Linked DNA regions of Cricetulus griseus. The protein of the gene in region 1 purifies or fractionates together with the protein of each later gene. This does not show direct contact. Links are inferred from orthologs where the notes say so. Each region holds a gene or a part of one and is shown on either strand. Other genes may lie near its edges. The genes, in order: Rapgef2 and Magi1.

Region 1 (3,819 bases):
CTAGAACCTGCAGAGGCCAGAAAAGGGCACTGGAGACCCCGAAACTGGAGTTTTTGATGGTTATGAGCTACCATATATTCTGGGGAATTGAACATAGTCCTCTGCAAGAACTATGAGTGCTCCTCAACCACTAAGCCATCTCTCCAGTCCTATGCCCTGGTAGATTGGATCATGTGATCTTCTCAAATTATCATTCACACATTTTTAATTAGCAAGAAGATATAATTCAAATTTGCCCCAAAGTTCCCAAAGTGTCCGAAAGGCAAAATGCTTAAACCTTATCATATAGAGACAGACACAAAGGAAAGTGTCCACACAGACTGGCCACATTTTTATTATTCATTTTGACAGTCACATGTCACTATGTTGTCCAGGCTGTCAACTGAAACCCTGAACTCACGTGATCCTCCAACCTTAGCCACCTCAGAGGCTGGAACTGTAGACGTGTGCCACAGCCTGGCCAGTTATTTCAAGGTTGGGAACCTACACATTGGGCTCAGATGTGGTGTGTTGCATACCAGGATCACTGCTTTCAGGGGCAGGTGCTGGTTGTCTGAGTTTAGGGAGACCCAGAGCCAGCACATCCTGACCTGATGATCCCTAACCAGGCTTCCCGTCATTTTAGGAGTTCCTCTGTGAGAAAAAAAGGCATGCAGCTGGAACCACAATCACCTCCATGTCCCTCGCTTGTGGTGCTGGCTGTGTCAGATGAAATCAAGGCAAGGAGATATGAGCCCAGTGTCCCCTTGCTGCACTAACTTAATGACACCAAGACCCAGTCAAGCACAAGCACGGTATATCTCAGGACCACCGTGTGCCTCTTTGCTCGAAGACCCCTTTCGCCACCACCATCATACACAGAACAATCTGCAGTTGATCTGGGGAGGTACTCACAAGTGCTGGTTGCTGGCTCACACTGCAGTGACAGTGTCTGAAGACTCTCCTCATCCATCTCCAGCTCCAAGTTGGACAGATACTGCTTCACTTTCCGGGCCATTTGGGCATCTTCATATAGCTTTTTGGCATTGAGGAAGGAACTACGGCGTACCCGCTTTTTATGTCCGCCTGTCTGAGCAACATCCAACACTGTGGCATTCGCACTGCCCTGGCTCAGCGACCTGGAAGATGAAAAATAAGAATGCAACTCTCTGGAGCATGGTATTGGATGATCTACCAGACTTGTGTAAAGACTCTATGCTTGAAAGGTCACATGCCCCATTCCAGTAAGTAAACTGATACAGGGGAATGCAGAATAACAGAGATTACACAAGATTTGGTTAAAAAAGGAATTATACATAATACATATACACAAATATGCCTGGCAAATGTTCTGCTCCTACCAGCAAATTCTTTTCATCTCACAGAGCATTCAAAGTCCGTTCTCTCACAGAAGCCAGAAAACATAATTGCATATAAAAGCTTGTGCAAGGACACTGAATGATCCTAGTGACAATTAACAAAATTATATTTGCTTCTCCTAATGGGGGCATTTTATATGGACTTAATTAAACTCAGCTACACTGTTCACAATTGCGTTGTTACTCTGTGGGTTGAATGTACAAGTTTTAAAAACAGTCAATCTGTTAATACAACTGTCATGCAAACATAAACATATGTATGGAAACTAGTATATGAATTGTTAAAAATTATTTTTTAAATGGGGCTGATTTACATAGAATGAAAATAGTAGTTAGTTGAGCTGTAGAAAATTTGGTTTTAGGGAGTGGGGGTGCCTAACACCACCACATTCACTTCTGGATCTGTGCAATCGTGTTTTTAGTTGCACGATTTCTTCCTTCTAAAAGCATGCTTCCCTTCCCCACTTCTTTGGCTTTTTCATTTCAAAACACACAAATTATATTAAAATATAATCTTTCTGACAGCCAAGAAATATTTCTGGTCTACATTTTCCCAGAATAATCAATCATTTTCCAGAATAATCATCAATCATTTCACAGCTCTTATGGACCTGACTTCAGCAAAGCCCCAACAGATTAAATCTGAAGTCAGTTTGCATCTGAAATTCTGATAGAGCAAGAGGGTTAAGAAAAAAAAAAAAAAAGCAAAGCATCAGAAAACAGAGCAGATAAGAAAACAATGCAACAGGCTGAGCAAGAACCAAGTGTGCAAATGCTCTGCCACTTACCCCAAACTCCGCCACTTCTTCTTCCTGCAAGTGAGAGCCACGGAGATTGAAGCATGGGTGTAGAAAGAGACAGAAAGATCACAAGCTCAGAAAGAAAGGACCAGACTTTTGGACAAGCAGTTCTAGAAGCCCACAAACATTAACTGCATAGTCACCTCACACGCATCCACTACAAAACATCTCTCTGGCTTAAAAGGCTGCTGCCTACACTTTTGTTCATTCCCTCCACTGAACTAATCATTGCTTTTTACAGTCAGATAAACACACTGTATGGACATTATGATGTTCATACTACCGATTACAAGTTCTAACTCTGCGACTCAGTGTTCTGGAAAATAAGAAGTAAATTCTTGCACCTAACATTCAATTAAAACTCTCTGAAGGACAAGCTGTTTGCACTACTATCATGTGTGCCCTGGGTGAAAATGAGAGACATCATTACAAATTGAACCTTGGGGGTGATTCTCTCAGCACATCCTAATGTAACTCCTGAAGTTAAGTATTCAGATTTTCCTACCATGGGCAAGCTCACTCTAACTATTCTAACCCAAAAATGCCATGGCCAACAACTCACGCACCGAGTCCTGAACATAAGGGCAGGGTCCATGTTGACTGAGGCCATTCGGCCTACATGACGGATTTCTTTTGCAATCATCCTTAGTTTCTCAAAGTTGACCAATCCGTCTACTTTAGAGTCATTTCCTGAGGTTAAGGGAGGAGGAAGAAGAAGTCACACAGGGTTCATTCTGTGATCCCACCTGAACAGAGAGAGCCCACCTGTACTCACCTTCATGGAGGAATGTGAGGTCCTTCTTGATGACGGGGAAGAGGGGGATTACAGGAGGTTGTAAGTTCTGGCCACTCAGGACGTTTCGGTATTTTGCCATGTTTCTGGAAGGATCAAATAGGTCTTGTAGGTCCTGGAATAGCTTTTCATATTTATTGGGAAGTTTTTCCCAGGTAGTTCTCAGTCTTGCCACTGGTGCCAAGTTTAGGCCGCTAAATGGGGAGAGAAAAAGAGTGAGATATGATTAAATGACCCCTCTCAAACAAAGGAAGACATATAGCAAAGCACCTATGTGTGTGAACTTTCCATGCATGGAGATTCATAGAATGCTTAAGATCATCATGCCATACCTGCCTGGGTAGTGAGTGGCAGTTAAAAGCAGGGTCAGAACCAAACCATTTGCCTTTATAATTCTTCTCTTTATGCTATCTTAACATTTTTTATATTCATCCATCCATCCATTCATTCATTCATTCATGTGCCTGTGTGTGTGTGTGGGGGGGGGGGTCGGGTCCCTGCAAGCATGTAAAGGTGAGAGGACAGCTTGCAGAAGTCAGGTCTCCCCCTTCTAACATGTGGGTCCAGGGAATAGAATCAGGTGACCAGGGTTGGCAGCTGGCACCTCTTTGTCAGCTGGCCCTTCTGTTTTGTTTATTTTCCTTTGAGACAGGGTCTTGCTTGTAGCCCTGGCTGGATGACTGACTAGGTTGGCCTCAGACACAGAGATCTGCCCAACTCTGCCTCCTGAAGTATGGGGATTATTACCACAGCCAGCCAGCAGGCTCTTCTCTATGCTCTCTTGATCTGTTTACTCTCTGCTATAGTATGGATATGAACTGATCCCCAAGGTGTGGCTTAGTTCCCAGTGCATTTGGTGCTGGGAGGT
Region 2 (3,819 bases), on another chromosome or scaffold:
CTCTCCATGCATCGGGTGGCCGGTCTTTGGGCCGGCATGCCCCACTGTCGGATTTTCTAGAAGTTCCATTCCAGGTGTGGTGTTCGTTGGGTTGTTTGCTATGCTCCCTATTGCCTTTTGGATCCTTCACGTGTGCCCGCTTTTCCCCATGTTGTGATGATTTGTGAAGATCGGGTGGGTAACTGGACTCCAAGGCTGGATGCGGTCTGCGGTCAGGCGGCCCGGGCCTCACTTCCGGAACACCTTGTGCACCGGTGGAGGGTCCGTTCCGGTCGCTGCTGGGGTCTGCCAGGAAGAGAAATAGGACAACAGTTTAACATGAAGGTCCTGTGGCTCCTGGCCCTGGTTCCCTCCCACACTTGACTCATTAGTCACAAAAAACAAACAACTGTTAAAGCAGATTCCAAGCCAACTGAATCTTGGTTAATTTAAATATTACTGCAACTAGTAAAGATTAAAAACTAGCAGTATGGCTTTCAACATCTAGCTGACTATTCCCCGTACCCTGAAGACAGGCCATTATAATGGAAGGGTCTATCTAGAGGTATCTGAACTATGGTACCCTGACCCACACCTATTCTTTCTTGGCCACCCATCAGCCCTTCCCCGTTCCCCCCCAATACCATTTTATTTGTGAATACTTGTTCTGCTTAAAATTAACCTAGGACACAGACTTGGATGGGCATGAGGAAAGCTTTCTGGGGGTTAGAAATAGTCGCTGGCATATTTGAGTGGTGATCTAACAAGAAGCAGGGCAACTGGCTGAGGATCTGCATGTCATACAAAAAAACCATACTTCTACTTTTAAAAAGTGATTCAGAGTAGGGGGTTATCTAGGCTTGAAGGTCCATTAAACTACTTCTTTTACATTTAATTATTTTCTCTACTTTCAAGTAAATTTTTTAAAAAAGGAACTGTATTAAAAAAAAGCTTTCTGCCAGATAAAAGTGAGAGGGATGGGTTATTAGGTGCTTGAGATGAGCTGGGATTTACAAAATCTCTACATTTAAAAGCACCTTTCTTTATGGTGTGAGAAGCAACCATAACAATATGCAAGAGCTGTGGGGCCATGGGACTGCTCCTTAGCTCACTCAGGCATCTACAGATCTAAAGGCTGGACAGCCCATGGCAAGTCCCATTCATCATTAAACTATCTGAACTGACACTACAGCCATTTAAGGCAGCATCTTGAATTTATGAGAGCCTTTGCAAAGTGGGATGTTCTGTTGCAATGATAAACCCATCAAGTTTTAGGTGCCCAAGCTGCTGAGCTGCAACATGGGATACTGGGTTTTATCAACACCTTCCACAGAGACAGCCAGGACAGCAGGAACCAGACGGTCTGTCTAATGAAAGATCTCTCCAAACCCAGGATGAGTTCAACAGAGGGAGAGCTAGAGCCTAGAGCATGAGTCCTCACAGTCTTGGTTCTTCTTACTGGAGAGGGGGTCTGCTATCACTTATTTTGGGTCAGCAATCCCTCTTTAACTTGACCACTGTGGTGCAAAAACATTTTTTAAAAATGGGTGTGCTATATGCCAGTAAGACCTTATTTACAAAACTGGCTTTAACCAGGATTTGGTTCACAGGCTGGAGTCTGCTGAGAGATACCTCAACCAGGAAATGTCCTCTTCCTGTGCAGCAAAGCCTTACCCACCAGGGGAGAGCTCCATGATGAGCCCCATTCTCTCTAAATGCTAAGTGTGCTACTGGGACAAAGACAAAGGCATTCCACATTTGGGGGAGAGAAGCTGTCAATCTAACCTATGATCTTATTCTATTCTTGAGACAAGGGAGAGCAACACTTCAACAGGGTTAGCCATGTACTTACAATTCAAAGAACGCAGGGTGCTCAGAATGAATTGCCAAACATATCAAAATAGAGCTAAGCAGAAGCAATGAGGAAATTAGGCCACAGCACAGAAACACCTAGTATTGATTTAGCTACAAACCGTAGTTTGATTATGGCCCATAAGGTAGAAGCAAGCCTCCCCGAGCTTTTCATTTCTCATACATGCAGCGATATTAGGAGGTATCATCGCTGTAGAAGGGAGAGCCCAGCACCAAGAACAGTCAGAGAGAAGGAGAAAGAGAGAAAGAGAAAAAGTTGAACATTTAGATTCCCTATAACAAGAAAGAAAGAAAAAAAATCTTCATTTGTTAACATAGGGCAAAGAGAGTTTATTTGTCCAGTCAGTCTAAGGCAACACCCAAGGCTGCAGAGACCGTAATTGGAACAGTGATGATTTTAGATAGCTGTTAGATGACTTGAAAACCAGATGATGATGCATCCTTTTGTTTTTTTTTTTTTTTTTGTTTGTTTTTGTGATTTTTTTTTTCAAACAACTGGAACAATGACAGGCTGGCATAGGAGAGCATTAACAATAAACAACAAAAGAACAAGGTCCCCACCCACCACCCCAATACCGCGGCAGTTAAATTAAGTACAAAAAACTCATTACAAAAATAGCCTCACAGAGAAGCAGGTTCCAGTCAAGTCAGAAAAATATTGGAACTTAACATATTATAACCCATTTGTAACTCTAATCAATAGAATTAGAGAGATTTAGTCCAAATGACGCATGGAAACATTACAGTAGCACAACCCTGGCATGTTCAACCCTTTGTGGGAAACCATGTATTTCAATGATCTTTATTTTTAGCCCAAGGAACATTTGTTAGTGTTGGATTTTCATCCTCAGTGCAACAGACATAGGTTTGGAGAAGATACACAGGTTACTGACGATGACTCTCAAATGAGATCACATCCAACAGAAGCATAGGGAAGACAGAAAAGGGAGACATGTTACACAGTTTCAGTGGTATCAATAAACCTAATGGTCAGAGAAGTTAAGCACAGTGTGCAGCCATGGCACCTGATGTCGTCATTAAGGTTCCCTCTGATTGGACACCCACCCTCCCCCTTACCTCAGACCCCTCCCATTGTGCACCCGTTCCAATGTTCAACACCTGGGAAGGCTGCCCTTCGAAGGAGCCACTCTCCTCCTTGAACTATGTCTGAAATTGAGCTTCTCACTGAGCCCAAAATGCATCGGGGAATTGTGCAGAAAGACCTTCAGAAACGAGGGTGATAACAGATAAATCCCGAATAAAGGGGACCAATGTATATGGGGATCTTTCAATCACAGTTTCTATAGAAACTTTTGTAGACCTTTGGTTGGGAAAAAAAGCCCTACATCTAGGGCATAGCTTCCTTTTTTTTTTTTTTTTTTTTTTTTTTGCTTTTTAAATTTTAAACAAGAATCTCAAATAAATAGGACATAATTATCACAATATACACTATTTTGCCATCAGAACACTAACCTAGGCAAAGAGCATTGCTGTCTACTCAAACTATGATTAAGATACGACAGAGGAACTCTACGTATCACCTGGCTTTCCTCATAGGAAAGGTATAGTAACAGGTTTCCCTCATGATGGGCACTGGGAATCTATTTCATCCTTTTTTAAAGACATATGGCTAATAGATCAACATTTGTTTGTTGTTCTTTTGATAGTGTGGGCTCAGGTGGTCTGGCTTGGGGTAAAGACCAGTTGAGAGGGACAGAGAACTGTTGTATACAGAGTCTAAACAAAGTGAGCAAAGCCCCCCAATAGCTCAGAATTTCACACCTCTGCAGTAAAGTAACAACAAAAACAAAACAAAACAACAAACAAAACAGAGCAAAACAAACAAAGAAACAAGCCCAATTAGATATTGTGCCTCAACACCAGTCAGGCAACCTGCTTCCTTAAAGGACTTTGTAGTCATTTGTGCTAACAATTGGATCTGAGAGACAGTTTGGCACAGTTCAACAA

The links.
Region 2: the proteins of Rapgef2 (region 1) and Magi1 purify together in Homo sapiens (co-immunoprecipitation; 3 studies listed by BioGRID and IntAct, with this or other methods). This does not show direct contact. The link is inferred for Cricetulus griseus from reciprocal best matches to the Homo sapiens genes RAPGEF2 and MAGI1.

Annotation. Positions count from the first base shown.
Region 1 is NW_023276806.1:75,177,551-75,181,369, reverse strand, and holds part of Rapgef2 (rap guanine nucleotide exchange factor 2), read right to left. Parts: intron 3,146-3,819; coding exon 2,934-3,145; intron 2,849-2,933; coding exon 2,725-2,848; intron 2,171-2,724; coding exon 2,147-2,170; intron 1,119-2,146; coding exon 895-1,118; intron 1-894. UniProt on the Homo sapiens protein: Functions as a guanine nucleotide exchange factor (GEF), which activates Rap and Ras family of small GTPases by exchanging bound GDP for free GTP in a cAMP-dependent manner.
Region 2 is NC_048601.1:50,147,672-50,151,490, reverse strand, and holds part of Magi1 (membrane-associated guanylate kinase, WW and PDZ domain-containing protein 1), read right to left. Parts: intron 2,042-3,819; coding exon of another isoform or gene 1,953-2,041; intron 286-1,952; coding exon 1-285. UniProt on the Homo sapiens protein: Plays a role in coupling actin fibers to cell junctions in endothelial cells, via its interaction with AMOTL2 and CDH5. May regulate acid-induced ASIC3 currents by modulating its expression at the cell surface.